Danio rerio: one gene and its partners. The protein of the gene in region 3 purifies or fractionates together with the protein of the main gene of each other region. This does not show direct contact. Links are inferred from orthologs where the notes say so. Each region holds a gene or a part of one and is shown on either strand. Other genes may lie near its edges.

Region 1 (6,569 bases), on a different chromosome or scaffold from region 3:
AACAAATACATCAAAATGTAAACAACTATTAATAATTAAGGATCTATGAAGTTTGCTTCCAACATTAGATTGTGTAATAACTTCTGACCAGTGCAATCTATTATTTCTGGTCAGTATAGTTTGGTGCAGCACATAAATGTAATATGAAGCAAAATAAGATGTTGAAAGGAAAACAAATAAACTGAGCTTCATTAGAACATGTACAGATAAAAGGTCTCAAATAATTCTCTTCTTAAATACTTTCATTTTATGTCTTCCATGTTCAATTTGTATTAGAGCAAATATAAATGGCAAGACTTCACAGCAGACAGAGGTGATGTTCTCATTTGCCTTGCTTAAATAAAAGCTGCATGGATTTTGGGGTGCAAAATCCAGCTTATAACAAACAGAACGCAACATACATGCACATCCTTTGTATTTAAGGTTTCTTGCAGCGTTTTGATTTGATCAGGAGCCATGTATAGTCATTTTGCTTATCCATCTTGACTCAAAGTGCTCGTAGCTATTGTAAAGTAACAGACTACTTAAGTGCATTTACTGGACCTTTGATAAAGCAAACTTCAAATTTGCTTTTGCACTTAAACTCAAGTCAAATTGATGAACCTAAAACTGGCAACTCCTTTGAGCAAGTCTATACAAAACACTTGTACTGTAAAGCTGCTCGAGTAAGTAAATTTTAGTTAGAAGCTTCTTGCATTGGTAACTGTAATAATCTAGAAGAGATGCTACTTGGCACTGTAACTTAACACTGGCCTGTACTTTAAAAATCATGATATACTGACAGGATTTAAAGATGCCACTGTGAATTTGCATCCAAAGAAAAAGACTGGAGTACAGTTACAGACACAGCTTCACTTTAAAACAAGAGTTTGGACAACTAAGGACAGTAGACATTGTGTGGTTTTACATGTGCACGTTTTATTTGGGTTGACTTGTCAGTGTACAGAGACACCCTGGCTTACATTTTCAAGGGACATCCCTTATTCACATACCCTAGGGAAGTCCTGCAAGATCTTCACTTTTTAAAAGGTAAAGCTTTCCCCTCATTGCAACAATAACAAACTGGGCCAAGTTTAAGGCTGAAGTACAAAAAGAAAAACAATGTATCGAGTACATAATTTACATAAACACTATAACAAAAAGGTCATGGACGCCCATTGTGAGGAGGGCAAAGTGGTAAACGCTTCTGGAATGACTAAAAGAAATGTACATTGAAGTCCTCTCGGGGAAAGCTCCTCCCCCTGTTAGACAACTACCTCCCTTTCCAGTTTCCGCATCCTGAGTCAATGCGCCATACAGAGCAGAAGCCATGCTGATGTCATCTTGTTCGAGAGGTTTAGGTTGGTCGTTCGTTTGAATCTCATTGCATGGCCATTTTAAGGTGGCAACAGTTCTGTTTAGAAGCACTTCCTGTGGACGATGGATGGGCCAGACTCATCGTACTCCTGCTTGCTGATCCACATCTGCTGGAAGGTGGACAGGGAGGCCAAGATGGAGCCACCGATCCAGACGGAGTATTTACGCTCAGGGGGAGCAATGATCTACAAGAGAAAGGGGACGTTAGCTCATCTGAAATCACTGCAAGCAAACTGCTATGAAAGTGAAAATGGGCAGGTGCATCACCTTGATCTTCATGGTGGAAGGAGCAAGAGAGGTGATCTCCTTCTGCATACGGTCAGCAATGCCAGGGTACATGGTGGTACCTCCAGACAGCACTGTGTTGGCATACAGGTCCTTACGGATGTCCACGTCGCACTTCATGATGGAGTTGAAGGTGGTCTCATGGATACCGCAAGATTCCATACCTGCACCAATAAAAGCAAACGTTAGTCACTGTTGAAGGATCACTTTTGAAAGGGAGATCAGTTTAAATGCATGGCAAGGAACTCACCCAGGAAGGAAGGCTGGAAGAGAGCCTCGGGGCAACGGAAACGCTCATTGCCAATGGTGATGACCTGACCGTCAGGCAGCTCATAGCTCTTCTCCAGGGAGGAAGAGGAGGCAGCGGTTCCCATCTCCTGCTCAAAGTCCAGGGCCACGTAGCACAGCTTCTCCTTGATGTCACGGACAATTTCTCTTTCGGCCGTGGTGGTGAAGCTGTAGCCACGCTCGGTCAGGATCTTCATCAGGTAGTCTGTCAGGTCACGACCAGCCAGATCCAGACGCAGGATGGCATGGGGAAGAGCGTAACCCTCATAGATGGGCACGGTGTGGGTCACACCATCACCAGAGTCCATCACAATACCAGTAGTACGACCAGAAGCGTACAGAGAGAGCACAGCCTGGATGGCCACATACATGGCAGGGGTGTTGAAGGTCTCGAACATGATCTGTAGAAGAGATAATTGGTTAAAAACCAAACTCAGAGCCTCAAATCTGCGTGAGTATGGGTGCACAACAGGGCAAGAAAGCCTCCAACACACCATGCTAAAACGCTCAACTGTGGAGAGTTAAGGTTAGAAGCTACCATGCAAGAGGGGGAAAAGGAATGAAAAAATAGGGATGAACCTTTTGAACCTCCTATCAAGAGATCATGGCAAGTGACAGAGCCTAAGAGGAAATGGACAGAAAGGAAGTGAACAAAGAGGGGAAGAAAGCCAAATAAGGCAATATGAAAATCAAATTGATCACAGGAACACACCTGTGTCATCTTCTCTCTGTTGGCTTTGGGATTCAGGGGAGCCTCAGTGAGCAGCACAGGGTGCTCCTCAGGGGCAACACGGAGCTCATTGTAGAAGGTGTGATGCCAGATCTTCTCCATGTCATCCCAGTTAGTCACAATACCGTGCTCAATGGGGTATTTGAGGGTCAGGATACCTCTCTTGCTCTGGGCCTCATCTCCCACATAGGAGTCTTTCTGTCCCATGCCAACCATCACTCCCTAGAGGAAGAAAAAGTAAAGGGATTAAAGCACCAGCTCACCGAGAAATGAGGAACTGCAAAGAGGAACCAATTTGTTTGAAGGAATTTAAAAACGTTGAAGGTTAGCTTAAAACAGATTCACTTGAATTTATTGTAATGAACGCTTAAATTAACTTTTATTAGATCTGACTTTCAAAGCTGAAGAACTTCGAAACAAACGAGAATCAGATCAAGTTTAAAAATCACTTATGCAAGCAGATTCTCAAAACAGGCAATAAAGCTGTGAATTAACACTTTAATAAACTTCATTATCTAAAAACGAATATAAATCGATTTTAAAAGATGTAAAATGCACAAATGAGAGTTTAATGTGGTTCAATATGATTAACATGTTATTAGGATGGTTTATTAAATGTACCTGATGTCTGGGTCGTCCAACAATGGAGGGGAAAACAGCACGAGGGGCATCATCTCCAGCAAAACCGGCTTTGCACATACCGGAGCCGTTGTCAACGACCAGGGCAGCGATTTCCTCATCCATGGCTGTAGGGAAAAAAAGCGAAACTGTTAAAATATGAATGGGTAGTGTCTTTTATAGGCGGTGATGACTGATGGATTTGTGACGTCTGGCCAGTAGGCGGCGCAAAGGCGCAGGGTTGAAACCAAGAGATTTGAGACAAAGGAAGTGGCCAGGCAGCCTCACTATTGCCTTATATGGCAATAAGTTAGAGCAGCTCAATGCCGCCGATTCAGCGCGTGGAATCAGACCAACGGACGCGACCACTCCCTCCCGGTCTCAAAGGCCGAGATAAGCGCTTTACAACGCCACGAGTGAAATCCCGGTGCTCACTAAAACACGCTCTTGTCTTTTGAAAAGGAAATAAAACGAAGCCATTTCAACAGAAAGAGTAACTTAACTTTAACGAACTAGAAGTGCTGCAATAATCTTTAACTTCGTGTGTGACTGACAAGTTTATGAAATCCCAACAACGTTACAGACAAACAAGAAACTTTAAAAGCTTTTATATATATTTGACCGTGCACACGAATTAAACGGCAGTGATACCGGTTAATGCGTTATAGTAGCCACACCCACCATTCAAACTGCGAACACTGCCGTTGATGATACTAACGTTAACGTTGATTAATAAATCCACATTTAAATTAAACCTTACATTAAAAATCAATTTACTACCAAATATGAATTTAATAAATCGCTTTATGTAGAAGGCTTTACAGTTGTATTACTCTAACGTTAGCTTTGAAAGCTGGAACTGCTACCGGTTAAAACCATTAATAAAACACAAGCACAAAAATCAGCATAACTTATTCAGCGTTGTAAAAATCAACAGCAAAGTACATATTTAGGCAGACAGGACCAAGACTTCAATTCAAATCCGATCAGCAAGCAAAATGAAATATAGCTTTAATAAATAAATCTCCAATAATCATCATAAGCATTACTAAATTATTCCAAATACCAGTAAATATTAATATAAAAGCATTCTCACCTGTGTATTAGTAGGTTATTGTGAACAAGGGGAGTGAAGATCTTCTCAGCGTGCACTGAAAACTCACAATGCTGAGCGTGAGGTGGGTCACAGCTTTATAGCCGGCACTGCGGCCGGCTCCTTCCATATAAGGTAAACTTTCGGCAGCGAGCGGTCTGATTGGCCAGCCGTCGTCCACTTGGCGAGTTTCAAGCTAGTTGCTTGAAATTCAAGTTCTGGGTTGAAATAATGTATGTCAGGGATCGGCGAAAAGGCGAAATAATTTGATAAGGAAATACACGATAAGTTGATTTGACACAGCATTGGCAGATGTAACACTTGAATTAAGGATATGTATATCATTTGGATTGGAACACAGTTAAATCAGTAAAGGATGCTAGACTTCATGTCTGTGGCTTAACGTTACTTTTAAATAACCTCACATACAGCGAGTAACGTTAAATAGTTTATTATTTCTGTGAAAAACGAGCAATGCATGATGTAAAGTTGCATTTATATAAGCTGTACTTAGGCTGCAGGAATGACAGGACGTTTAAACATAGCAGTACGACATTGTCCAATAGTATTTAAACTTATATTGTATTTTACTGTATGTTTCAGCTCTATAAATGACAACAATGTGTAAACTAACGTTATACAAGAGCCATTATTGGTAGAACAGAGAAGAAATCATTATTTGATTAACGTTATACACTAATCTGCTTTACATTTCAGTTAATGTTTGACAGCTAGTTGAAAACGACTCATTTACGATTAATTCTTGAGAAGACATTTTAAGTGTGTCATTTTATTAGGTTAGTTTGATGAACAACGTGGGCGTGGCTCCCATTTAAAGTACAGGTACTTCTCGTGACTCTATAAAACATAATGTAAAAGCATATTTAAAAAAGGCTTTATTTGTGAACATTGCACTGTTTAATTCAATCGTAGGTTGCTTTTGTGCATAATGCTTTGCTGTTTATAATATCATGGATGTAAAGCTGCAGAAGATCAGGAGTCATTCGGAAATTAATGAAATATTGACTATTGTTTTGTTGTTGCTCAGATCGGCGTCTGTTACATCGCCGCTCGGCATGTTAGATGCAACCGTATTAAGCATATTTCATTTTATCTGGTTATCTGCAAAGCAGGGGATACAAAACAAGGGCACGGTGCTCCATAGAAAACAACACTTCCTGTCAAGCCGGCTTTTGCGTAATTACGTCATAAACCGATGACGCTTCACGCTGCTGCATTACTGGAATCTGAAGAGTGCACAAAAAAAATCAGCCTACATACCCTGTTACTTAAAAAGACTGATAATATAAACTATTGAATAACACTATATGTCGTGAATGTTTTGAAGCACAGACTGTTTAGTTTACATTCGATAAAGTAATGTGACACTGATAGGCTAGGCTAATGGCTTCAAGGAAAAAAAAATACTAGAAAGGGTTCCTATTTAGGCTAAACGAGATCCCAAATTGATTTAATATGACTTTTCATTGAAAATATGTAAATTCTTTAGCATATTCCGGTTTTTCAGAGGAACCAAGGGGTCATAAATAGGTGTTAATCCCAGTTTTAAATGTCCTGCCTTCAGCTTGGGCAATCTGAGACGCGTGGCAGCACGCCCTATCCATGGTGCTTTGCAATTCTTATCTTATCAGCATGAAACCAAAAAGGGGACTAAATTGTGCATTTAATGTTAAAATCGTAAGGAGCAATGGCTGTTAAAACGTCACCAGGATGACACCTAATACATCTGCCCACTCCCTAATCTGCCCATTCTTAAATGTTAAATGCTGATGTTTTGAAGCAAAGACTAGTTTACATTGATAAATGTGTAGGGACTATTAGCAACAAATGCTATCATGAAAGAAACCAAAATACTACACAGCGTTTATTTTGGCTAAACAAGGTCCCAGATCGATTTGATATGAATTTACATTGAAATATGTAAATCCTTTACCTATTCGGGTTTTTTAGGAGGCCATGGGGTCATAAATAGATGTTAATGCCAGTTATAATGTCCTGCCTTTAGCATGGGCAATCTGAGACGCGTGGCAGCATGCCTTATCCAGGGGGCTTTGCAATTCTTGTCTTATCTTGTCAGCATGAAACCAAAAAGAGGACTAAATTGTGCATTTAATGTTAAAATCTTTAGGAGCTATGGTTATTGAAATGTCAGTAGGGCTATGTCACCACTTGATAAAC
Region 2 (6,683 bases), on a different chromosome or scaffold from region 3:
GCAACACAGCATCTTATGTAAACAATCTCATGTCTGGAGTTAATAAAAATAAATAAAATACTGGCTGGATTTCAATAAGTTACATATTTTCTGAGCACTAATCCTATTCTGCTTAATCTTGTCTGCTTGTTCATTTACAAATAGTCCAACATGTCCTGGGATCCAGTAGAAAACTGTATTATAAAGCTTTCTCCATAGCTCATTCACTTTGATGGCATCAATAATGCTCCACCTTAAAATAATTTAACATTTGTCCCACTGCATTATCAGAAGGTTTCAGTACTCACCACAAAGCATGCAGCATTTCATAAAATATTTCAATCAAACACTCACCATCCTCCTCTTCGTCATCATCCTCCTCTTCATCTGACTCCTCTTTGGCTGCAGGTGCTTTAGCTGCAGGTTTAGCCGCTGCTGCAGCTTTTTTAGGAGGCGGAGCTTCTTCCTCTTCAGATTCATCTTCGCAAATGGAAGCAAAGACATTGATTTAGATGACGCATTGTGCATTTGATTTCACTTAAAACCAGAATATTACATACCATCATCATCGTCATCCTCAGACTCCTCAGCAGGAGCTGCTTTCTTCACGGGAGCTGCTTTCTTGGCTGGTGTGGCTTTAGCTGGTGTAGCTTTGGCAGGAGCCTTCTTGGGAGGTGGAGCCTCTTCCTCGGATTCATCATCTAGAAATACAGAAGATTATATAAAAGTAATACATTTTAATCATGCCTAAAGGGTTAAATTCATTAAAATTGATAATGCATTTAATTTCCTTGGTAATAGACCACCCAAAAAATGCAATCAATTTCACACCCTTTGCCTAATAAAAAGAAATTGAAACATCTTGTACACCAGTAACCATTGATCTTCTTAGTTTGTTTTTTGTACTATGGAAGTCAATGGCTATCATCTTCAGTGTTCAGAAAAGTCAATCAGGTTAGGAACCACTTGAGGGAGAGTAAATGAGTCATTTAATAACTGTGAACTATCCCTTTAAAACTGCTGATCTAATAAACATCTAGGCAGATAGTTTTCATACCATCATCATCGTCGTCATCCTCTTCACTGGACTCTTCAGCAGGAGCTGCTTTCTTTGCAGGAGCTGCTGCTTTAGCTGGAGCTTTAGCGGCCTTCTTTGGAGGCGGAGCTTCCTCTTCTGTGAAGTACAAGTCAATGCAAATTACACCTGACCTTCAGACTCAAAGGAATAAAAAAAATAAAATAAAAATGCACGACTGAAAACTTTGCTAACCAGATTCATCATCTTCATCGTCGTCATCTTCATCCTCACTCTCCTGTTTGGCAGCAGCTTTTCCGTTTTTCACTGCCTTCACAGGAGCCGCGTTTTTCTTCGCTACAGCTTTGACTGGTGGTGCCTGCCGAATACACAGTTCATTAAATACCTTTCAATAGCAACAGGAAAAAAATAAAGCGCATTATTTGTCAGCCTCCTCACCTCTTCTTCCTCATCGTCATCACTGTCCTCCTCGCTGGATTCCTCTTCCACTTCTTTAGGAGGTGGAGGTGCCTTTTTCTTCGGCGGCGCATCTTTTTTAGCTGCCTGTAACAAACAAGCAATGAAAATATTAATTTAAATGTTGATTTGTGCGATTAGAAATTGATTTAGCAACTAGACAGTCAAAGCTTTGCACATTTAGTCAACAGAAACCTCAAATGGTTTCAGTTTCAGTTTCAGTCCTGCGGTGCAAGAAAGATTTAACAGATTGTTTTAGCACTTGTGCATGTATTAAACACGAGTTCCACCCTTTATAAATTAGCTAGATGCCATTATGCAGAAATGACAGCATATAGTTTAAGCTTCAATCAATGACACATTCAATCTTGATGCATTCGAACGCTTTCACTTCAGCATTTGTTTGGAGATCATGAGGTGTGGCTACTCTTGTTTAGGCTATATAAAGCTTTAAAAGTGCAATAAATTTAATACATCTGTATGCTCAGCGTTCATACTTCATAAACAGTCATAGCTGAAACCATATTGCATTGAATTAGAAACTTACAATTGGTAAAGCTGACAAGAATACAAAATTCTGAATGTCACCATGTTTATAGCATGATCCATTATTAATCTTTTCACACTTGAAATCTCAAATGTCATTATATATATATTAATGAAAAAAAAAACCCTACATGAATTTTTATACAAATGTTCACTTAAATCAGTGACAATTATTCTGATTTAATGCACTACGATGTAGAATATGTACTTAATGTCCCACACTCAGAGCAAATGTCAAGTCTTACTAGCCGATTGAGTGAGCACACTTTCGTTCTGCCCAATCAGAACTTTTCAATCTGCCTCTTATCGGTCTCATTAATTTGCGGAGTGTACTTTCACAATTATTATATTATTGTAAGTATAATAACAAGGTGTCTACAAGTTCCAGCAAGTCAAATTTAAGACCAATTCAGACTTGCACAAGGCTAAACACTAAAGATTTTTTAATGGCCAAGTTAAAACCATATCATTAAAAACAAATGTTTTTGCAAAGATAAATAAAACCATATTAATATGCAAATAGTGTAAATGATGTTTTTTTTAAACTTATGAAATATAATGTTAGTTATTAGACGGGTGCTGTCCTGATTGGGTATAGCTTTACAGAGGAAAATTAAGACCAGTTTAAAATTAAGACCTACAACACAATAGTGCAGCGGATTAAAGACTTTAAGGCCTAAAATTCATATATATTTAATTTTAAAACTTTACAATTCTGCAGATACCTTAAATAAGCTACATCATCTCCTTACTTTGAGCTGATGCACAAAAAGGAAAGGTAATTTTTTTTATCTTACTGTTTGCTCAAGCGAAAAATGATTTCAATTTCTGAATATTTAACAACTAATTTGAATAAATGGTGAAATTAATATTATTAATATATAATAACATATATAATAATAATCATATCTATGCAGTGAAACAGACTGAGCTGAATCTTGACTCAAATCAAAAAAATCTGTCAAAACAAAAATTGCAATCAAGACATTTTCTCCAAATCGCACATCCCCCTTAGCTCTTGCAGTTAGGGCTATGAAAGGGTCAAATAAACTAAACATCTAGGGGGGGAAAAAAAAAAGTACACCCAAGTTGTCTCAAGACAGACATAGTTGACCAATGAAAGGTCTTAACCATCCTCAAATGTTGACTTGTGTACATTTAACAAGACTTGGCATTCATTAAGTTCACAGGTAACTTGTGCATGTTTAAAACACAAACACAATCTTGCATAAACAAGCGTAAGATTTCGCATAAAAATCTGAATTCTCATCTAAAACTTTTCATCTTTAGTATTAATACATTTATAAGACAAATGTGCAAAAAAAAAAAAAAAAAAAAAAAAAAAGATAAATACAAGACTGGCACAACACCAATTAAAATATTTAGATTGGTTCCTAAAATCCAACATTTTTACCTTTCAATCACTAAAGGTGTAACACGTGTTATTGGAGATTTTGCATATAATTCATTCGTGGTACAACCTTTTAAAATTTGACTATTAAGTGCATGACTTAATGTAAATAATGTACTTATACAAATAATAAACTAAAATAAAATTATGACTGTTAATGAATATTTCTTAAGTATGGATCTGTAACAAAGTACTCAAAAAGTAAAGTACTGCTCGCGAAACTCCCCGCGTGGATCATCCCACGTGGGTTGAACGTAACACGTGGAAAACACACGTTAACCCTACAGCGAAGTAGAAATAACGTAATTAAATTAAATTTCGTGCCGCATTTACATACTTGACTCATATAAACAGTGAAACACGAGTTAAAACGCAATTGTGTTTAGTGCACGGTCTTATACGTGTTAAATGCCCCCACATTCACTACAGAGAGCCAAAATGGAGGCGTTTAGCATTTAGCTACTTTCCACGCATGGCGAACAAATGCCTTGGAGCTAAATCCACGACACATTAACACCTCCCCAGGGTTTATTAATCAACGCAATTTGTTTTTACAACATCACAAAACGAGTCTTCTTAAAATTCACCACGCATGTTCATCATGCGTGTTTGTTGAGGCCTGCAAATGCAGAAGCGTGGTCGGCCATGTTACCTTCACAAACAGGAAAAGCAGAAAACACACGCTAGCTCATTTTAGCCGTCAATACTGATCCTTAAATAAGTATTTGAATATTTAACCTTACATTCCGACGAATATTATATATGTTAAACTAAATATAACTCACACACATGGGCCTTCTCGCCAAATGTAAAAATAAAAACAGGAAAATACGCATTTTGAGATCCGTGCTGCATTTAAAGCGACAATAACGGATTGACGGTAATATCTTACCTTAGCGAGCTTTACCATGACTGAGGGCTGTTTTTACAGTAAAGCTGATAACTGAAAGAGAGAGATGGTAAGAACCGTTCAGTCACACGTGTTTCTCTCTACAGGACAGAAAAGAGCGCTCGATACGCTTTTAGTACGTCCTGAAAAACCCCGCCCACTACACCCATGACGTTTACCATATGCGCGTTCACGAAGCTCAATGTGAACCGAGTCGCTGCTGTTCAGACTCGTTATCTCCATTCGGTTCTTTTGAACAGTTTTTTTCTGATTTTTTTGCGCTCATTGAACAGTATGAATGAATGAATGAATGAATGAATGAATGAATGAATGAACTAGAAATTTAAAGTTCGTAGACAAACTTGGTCTCTTGAGAAAGCCGAGTCTGAAAGTGTGAAGTTTAAATAACTGAAGTGTTTTAAGTTTGAAACAGTTATCAAAAGATTAGCATGTTTCCAATATAGTTTGGTATGTTGCTAGGGGTTCTCAGTGGTTGCTATGCAGTTGGCAAGGCATTGCAACTCAGTTGTTTGGTTGTTCTGATTGGTTGCTAAGGTGTTGCTAGCCAGTTGTTAGGGTGTTCTGAGTGGTTGCTAAGGTGTTAATAAGTAGTTGCTAAGGCATTGCTAGGCGGTTGCTAAGGTGTTGCCTGGGACTTCTGAGTTGTTGCTAAGGCATTACTAGGAAGTTGTTAGGGTGTTCCAGGTGGTTTCTAAGACGTTGCTAGGTGGTTGCTTATGTGTTCTGAGTGGTTGCTAAGGTTTTGCTAGGCGGTAGCTAAGGTGTTTCTAGGCAGTTGCTAGGGTGTTCTAGGTGGTTACTAAGATGTTGCTAGTCGGTTGATGTGTTCTGAGTGGTTGCTAAGGAGGTGTTAGGTGGTTGCTATAGATGATCTAGCTCGTTGCTTATGTGTTGCTAGGTGGTTGCTAGCATGCTCTGATTGGTTGCTAGGCCGTTGCTAAGGTGTTGCCTGGGAATTCTGAGTGGTTGCTAAAGCATTGCCATATATATATATGTGTGTGTGTGTGTGTGTGTCATTGCAAGGCATTGCTAGGTGGTTGCTAGGGTGTTTCAGGTGTTTCAGGTGGTTACTAAGATGTTGCTAGCAGTTGCTAGGTCATTTCTAAGGTGTTGCTAGGTGGTTGCTAAGGTGTTTTGAGTGGTTGCTAGGTGGTTGCTAAGGTGTTCTGAGTATGTTTCAAGTATGATTAGTATATATTGGTATGTCATTACCATATATATATATATATATATATATATATATATATATATATATATATATATATATATATATATATATATATATATATATGTGTGTGTGTCTGTGTGTGTGTGTGTGTGTGTGTGTGTGTGTGTGTGTGTGTGTGTGTGTGTGTGTGTGTGTGTGTGTGTGTGTGTCATTGCAAGGCATGTCATGTTTCTAATGTGGATCAGTATATTGTCAGTATGAACTGGTATGTCACTCACTTTAACGTTAATTTTACAGAATCACTGTGCTTATCACTGGGTGACGAGCTGTTATAATACGCTAAAAGCATTATGTAAATTTTATATATATATATATATATATACATATATATTTATTTATTTATATATATATATATGTATATATATATATATATATATATATATATATATATATATATATATATATATATATATATATATATATATATATATATATATATACGTATGTTGTCAATATAACTTATTTCTTAGACAAAAACAAACTCTGTGCCTCGCTGTAAATGCTAGCGCTCCCGTTTTTTTTTTCTTCTGGTACCTTGTTGTTTGCAAACATGGTAATTCGTCTATATGGCACTTCTTATATATAATCATGAAATTTATTTTACAAATTTGCTCGAAAGTTTTATTATTATTATTGTTGTATATCAAAAATATATTTACAAGAAAACTTATTTTTTTTATTTTGTAAATTTAAATATAAACAATCACACGTGAGGCATCCCAAGCATCAACCAATCAGGCTTTTAAAAAAGACGGCGCTACCTGCCGATTGGATGATGCCAATGTCAATCATGCTAAAACGTCTTCCCAGACCCTGATTCTTCATCTTCTCAGAGCTGCACTTTTCCGTGTTTTTTTTTTTTTCTTCCGTGTAGAGATTGTTAAGAAATATGAACATACTGATATTTTTGTGTGCATGCAAACTCTGAAATCACATCTTTGAGTAACTTACGCGTGCTTTATATGAACCACCCTACACACACACACACACACACACACACACTGAACCCAACGGCTCCGCCCACTGAAACGCTCACCAGAAAGAGACTCCCACTTGTTCCATTCAAGCAGACCTTCATCTAGATTTCACACAGCGGATCGCACACTTAATTTGTTTT
Region 3 (5,910 bases):
TTGGCTTCCTGAGGGAGAGCGGGAGGTTGCCGATTGGTTTAAACAATAAATAATAATTTAAATAATCACTGCCACTTTTGATCTATTTATTGATTTTGCTAACTAAATTAAATTCATATATTTTTAAAAACAATCCAAAAATGTTACGATGTAATAATGCCAAACAGGGCAACGTGGTGGCTTAGTGGTTAGCGCTGTCGCCTCGCAGCAAGAAGGTTGCAGGATCGAGTCCCGGCAGGGTCAGTTGGCATTCCTGTGTGGAGTTTGCATGTTCTCCTCGTGTTGGTGTGGGTCCAAACACATGCGCTATAGAGGAATTAACTAAATTGGCCGTAGTGTATGAGTGTGTAAATAGGTGTGTATAGGTGTTTCCTAGTACTTGGAAGGGCATCCACTGTGTAAAACATATGCTGGAGTAATTGTCAGTTCATTCCGCTGTGGCGACCCCAGATTAATAAAGGGACTAAGCCGAAAAGGAAATGAATGATTGAACATTGCAAAACAATGATTCAATACCTTCAGGGCTGAATCTTCATAAATGACCAGTGTCCCGTCTGCTGTGCCCACCAAAAGATAACTCTTCAGACATCTGCAGACAAAAATAAGCATCATTTTTTCAATTTAAGCTAGATCAACCAAGCGTGTGTCACAAGCAGATTTATTAACCTGTGCTGGAGCTCGGTGTGAAAGTACAGAGACGTCACAGAGTCCTTCACACTCTTCAGACGGTGCAGGACTTTCGCATTAATGGTGTCCATGATAAAGAGCGAACCGGACTCTGAACCAGCCACTAGCCAGTCACTGCACGAGTCTGCAGCTCTGATGATCACCATGCAGAGGATAGGGCTGCGGTCCAGCTCCTGAAACACAGCATTAGGAACAGTACACTGTTATAGTAAATAGCTGGCTAAATGATGCACATTTCTAGCATGAATTAGCACAATATAGTTTATATAATAAACATGTCAGGAAGCATTAGCCATGTGTTAAAACATGCTAGAAACATGGCTATTGCCTCCTAAAATGTTTGTAACATTCTATTTGGATTCATTAAGATGTTGCTAACATGATTAAGACTATGATAATGTGAATTAGCATGTTATAGCAAGTCTTAACATGCTAATATGCTTAAGCATTCTGCTAGCATGTTTTAACACATAACTAATATGCTTTAACGTTCTGTTAACATGTTTTAAAATATTATGAACATACTTTAACATTCTGTTAGCATGCTTCAACACATAATGAATATGCTTTAGCATTCTGTTAGCATGTTAACACATAATGAATATGCTTTAACATTCTGTTAGCATGTTTTAACATACCAAATATGCTTTAGCATTCTGTTAGCATGTTTTAACACATGCTAACAGAATGCTAAAGCATATTTGGTATGTTAAAACATGCTAACAGAATGTTAAAGCATATTCATTATGTGTTAACATGCTAACAGAATGCTAAAGCATATTTGGTATGTTAAAACATGCTAACAGAATGTTAAAGCATATTCATTATGTGTTAAAACATGCTAACAGAATGCTAAAGCATATTCATTGTGTTAAAACATGCTAACAGAATGCTAAAGCATATTCATTATGTTTTAACACAATGAATATGCTTTAGCATTCTGTTAGCATGCTTTTAAAAAATGGGAGGAGCTACTCTATGCCCCGCCCTCGATTCATGTTTCGTTTAAGATTGTCAAACATCGAATAAAAAAAAAAAAGTTCACATGTCAAAGCACGGGACCTTTAAATCTTGATGCAATAAATCTGCATGTTTTAGCACCTGGTTCAAACTCCCGCCGGTCTCCAGATCCACCGCAGTCACACAGCCCAGTTTCTGGCTGCTGCTGCCACCACCGATCCACACATGAGGGTTTTTACCTCCGTTTGCAGCTCCGCCTGAATTGGACACGACAAAACACTCGCCTGGAAAACCCACAACATTCAGCTCTCGCATCAGACACAACATCTCTGCAGAGTTCAGACGATCAAACACCTGAAACACATTTACAGTTAAAGTAAGAATATTATCCCCTCTGTATATCGTTTTCCCCAATTTCTGTTTAATGTATAGATTTTTCAGCACATTTCTAATCATAAGTTTTAATAACTCATCTCTAATAACTGACTAATTTTATCTTTGTCATGACGACTGCACATATTATTACACTAGATATTCATCTAGATGATTGTATTCAGCTTAAAGTGACATTTAAAGGCTTCACTAGGGTAATTGGGGTAAAGTTAGGGTAATTAGGCAAGTCATTGTATAACAGTGGTTTATTCTGGAGACAATCCAACACTAATATTGCTTAAGGGGGTGAATAATATTGACCTTAAAATGCCTTTACAACAATTAAAAACTGCTTTTATTCTAGCCTAAATAAAACAATTAAGAAGAAAAAAATATTATAGGAATTACTGTGAAAAATTCTTGAATCTGTTCAACATCATTTGGGAAATATTGGAAAAGGAACAAAATAATTTACAGGACAGCGAATCATTTTGACTTCAACACTACATAAAAACTACAACATGACTTTCAAGAGAAGGTGGAGGTCGGTGTTTGGGATGGTGTGGGAATATAATAGTAGTAATACTCCTAATATGATGGTAGTGTAAACCCAAGTCTCACCTGAGCAGACGTCGGCCTGTCCTGGGGGTTTTCTCTCATACATTCCCTCATGAGAGACTCAATCTCAGGCCATGGAGAACAGCCGTAATCCTTCACTGGATCTACACAACAGGTTATTTTAAGACAATTTTCTAATGAATAGGCATAGTAAAATAACAACAACAACAACAACAATAATAATAATAATAATAATAATAATAATAATAATAACAGGGATAGCATAATAGATTTAGTATAACAACAGGTATAGGGATAACATAATAGGTATAGTATAATAATAATAATAATAATAATAATAATGATAGGGATAGCATAATAACAGGTATAGGGATAATATATGATAGGGATGGTATAATAATAATAGGGATAGTATAGTAATAGGGATAGTAAAATAGGGATTGGGATAGTATAATAATGGTAGGGATAGTATAATAGGAACAGTATAATAAGAATAGGGATAATTCACCCCAAAAATAAAATGCTGTCACCATTTACTCTTCCTTCACTTGTTAAAGTTTGTTTTGAGTTTCATGTTTCTGCAAAACACAAGTTTAGCGGTAACTTCAGCGTTAAGCTCAATAAGGAGACTCAAAGATTTACTCACCCTTTACTTGTTCCAAACCTTTATTTTTGGGTGAACTATTGCTTTAATGCAGTGCTAACTGGCAAACATCTCACAGCATGATCGAGCATATAAAATGTATTTGTTTACATCTTGCTTTCAGGGGTCAGTAAGCCCCTCCCCCTTCCATAAGCCAACTCCGCTCTCATTGGTCAGCAAACCAAAGTCTCAGTTGATTGGTCTGTTTTATCCTGTGTCGAAAAGTAAACTAATATTTTTAGTGTTGATGTCGCGAAAGGTGGAGACTATGCAAATATGACTCCATTCTCTTTTCAAAAGAGGGCGGAGCTACAGATGCCTGTGTGTCATTAGCATAGGACGTCAGTCTTGTTTTTGAATCTGCCACTGCTCTGAGGGAGAGATGGGTACTTTAGGGGGCGGGTCTTTCCCCCTCTGATTGACATTCTCCCTTTGTATGATGTCAAAGCATTTCTGCAGTTATCAAGTCTGATATTAACAAATACAATAAATACTATTTTACAATTAGAAGCTGGTTATTTTCACACACTGCTGACACACAACTGTGTTTAACCCCCTAATTTAATATCATGTGGGCGTCTCGCCTCAAACTGAGCATTACCTGGTAGTTTGCCCTGCACGGCCACTTCATCGAACTCACTGGGAAACTTCATGCCATCTGAGATGCGCTCGCCGTATGTTAACAGATCATACAGCAGCAGACCGAACGAATAAACATCCGCCTGGACGTTGTAGATGACGTTTCCTCGAGCCACCTCCGGGGCTCGAAAACCTGCGCAAGATCAAGACTCAAAATCACAACACAGGTAAAAATCCTCAGTGCAAGTGTCCATTTTAAACCTTCAAAATTCTCTCCATCAATAGGCTTACAGCTGAAGGCAAAATTAAACATTCATATTATATTTCCCAAGTGATGTTTAACAGATGCTTTTTCAATGCTTATTTTTTCTTTATTTCTTTCAGTTTGGCTGAAATAAAAGCATTTATCTTAAAGGAGGATTATGGGTAAATGAGCGAGACCTGGTGTTCCTTCAGAGCTGCGGACGCCCATGCTGCAGCAGTACTGCGCGATGCCATAGTCTGTGATTTTAGCGACGATCTCAGCGTCCGTCTTCAGGTTGAACAGCAGAACGTTGTGCGGCTTCAGGTCTCGGTAGATGATCATAGATGAGTGCAAATATCTGTTCGGAAACAAAACGAGTCACAGATACCGTCCTATAGGTTGACATTGAACTGAGAAGATTTATTTAAAATGGCTGCGTGTAAGAATTGTGTATTAAATGCTTTTTTTTATTGCCAACGTGTCCTTTGTCGACTTTCTAGGTTTTTATCTTTATATAAAAAGGACATTTTTGCTAGGGAAAACAAGCATGTCACACATAATAGCAGTAAACGATGGTATTAAACTACTGGAACTACTTTCCCATTATGTTAATAAAAAAACACAAATGTAAGGCTCCAGTTCACTTAATGGCCACCGGTGTCGCTATAGTCACAAAAGTTTATCGGATTTCTACATTTAGTCTCTTTAAAAGGTGATTAATGCGTTTTGAAGTGCACCTACTTGAGACCATCAGCCACATGTAGTGCAATCCTGTGCTGTAATTTGCGACTTAAGCTGCCATTTTCACGCTCAAACAGCGAGTCCAGAGAGCCATACGGAGCCAACTCCATCACAAGTATATGTGGGTTACAACCAGCAGCCAAAAGACCCACCAAACTAGGATGACACAGTCTGCCGAGTACTGCCAGTTCCTGGAGATGGATCAGGAAGATGCATCAGTAACAATGTAGCAATAGTGGCGGACACACCAAGGTTCCTGCTGCATAACTCACCTGTCGTACCAGCCGGTGAACGTACAGCGCAGACGCATGTTTATTAAAAATCTTGACCGCAACTTCTTCATTCTTGTAGACAGCTTTATAAACCGAGCCAAAACCTCCATCCCCTTCAGTATAAAAACACACTGTTACTTTCGATCCACATTGCCTTCATGCTTGTCAGCTATTGGTAGATCATTGGAACTTATAGAATTTTGGTCATACGCCCACCCCTATATTCATATCATAACTATGTGGTGAAATATAGTATTTAAATAGGTGGTTATTCCAGAAAAAAACAAAAACAAAACAAGGTTATATTGCATAACTTCTTTCTTTTATGTGGATCATTTGTTTTCTTTATTTGTTATTAATGTTAAACTGCAGCCACTGAGTAAACGTCTAATAGGGGCAGGCACTATGACCCAGCAGGAGGCTGCTTTAAGAGTTTTATTGTAAAGGCTTAAATATAGCAGATGTTAAAAAGTCAAAAAAAAAAAAAAAAAAAAAAAAAAAAAAAAACACATTTTTCATATTCACAAAAATATTAAACATGACTTTTTTTTTTTTACATAACTTCACATTAGTTTTGTATTTTACGTTCATTTTCCAAGTCTAATCTGAATTATTAGTGTAACAGGGTAGGCATTAGGACCTGGGGGGCTGATTAACTTAGAGGGATATTGTACACCTAGTTATTCTGTACTTATATTCAGAGCAGTAGTAAGTCCAAAACGGTTACTGTACATCACAGGTGAAAGTTCCTGAGCTGACTATTACGAGCACTCCACTGTATGAGAGTTAGCCACGCCCACTTATATTACATAGTGTAATTTACAGAATATAAA

What was found.
Region 1: the proteins of lrrk2 (region 3) and actb1 purify together in Homo sapiens (affinity purification with mass spectrometry; 3 studies listed by BioGRID and IntAct, with this or other methods). This does not show direct contact. The link is inferred for Danio rerio from reciprocal best matches to the Homo sapiens genes LRRK2 and ACTG1.
Region 2: the proteins of lrrk2 (region 3) and ncl purify together in Homo sapiens (co-immunoprecipitation; 3 studies listed by BioGRID and IntAct, with this or other methods). This does not show direct contact. The link is inferred for Danio rerio from reciprocal best matches to the Homo sapiens genes LRRK2 and NCL.

The regions. Positions count from the first base shown.
Region 1 is NC_133176.1:10,080,357-10,086,925, forward strand, and holds actb1 (actin, cytoplasmic 1), read right to left. Parts: upstream 4,473-6,569; 5' UTR 4,374-4,472; intron 3,406-4,373; 5' UTR 3,404-3,405; coding exon 3,281-3,403; intron 2,882-3,280; coding exon 2,642-2,881; intron 2,331-2,641; coding exon 1,892-2,330; intron 1,806-1,891; coding exon 1,624-1,805; intron 1,542-1,623; coding exon 1,398-1,541; 3' UTR 897-1,397; downstream 1-896. UniProt on the Homo sapiens protein: Actins are highly conserved proteins that are involved in various types of cell motility and are ubiquitously expressed in all eukaryotic cells.
Region 2 is NC_133197.1:38,757,099-38,763,781, forward strand, and holds the start of ncl (nucleolin), read right to left. Parts: upstream 4,473-6,683; 5' UTR 4,339-4,472; coding exon 4,321-4,338; intron 1,559-4,320; coding exon 1,454-1,558; intron 1,374-1,453; coding exon 1,250-1,373; intron 1,154-1,249; coding exon 1,037-1,153; intron 681-1,036; coding exon 541-680; coding exon of another isoform or gene 540-540; intron 464-539; coding exon 334-463; intron 1-333. UniProt on the Homo sapiens protein: Nucleolin is the major nucleolar protein of growing eukaryotic cells. It is found associated with intranucleolar chromatin and pre-ribosomal particles. It induces chromatin decondensation by binding to histone H1.
Region 3 is NC_133200.1:38,200,969-38,206,878, forward strand, and holds part of lrrk2 (leucine-rich repeat serine/threonine-protein kinase 2), read right to left. Parts: intron 5,191-5,910; coding exon 5,078-5,190; intron 4,997-5,077; coding exon 4,806-4,996; intron 4,423-4,805; coding exon 4,262-4,422; intron 4,014-4,261; coding exon 3,843-4,013; intron 2,742-3,842; coding exon 2,641-2,741; intron 2,002-2,640; coding exon 1,789-2,001; intron 861-1,788; coding exon 667-860; intron 590-666; coding exon 517-589; intron 1-516. UniProt on the Homo sapiens protein: Serine/threonine-protein kinase which phosphorylates a broad range of proteins involved in multiple processes such as neuronal plasticity, innate immunity, autophagy, and vesicle trafficking.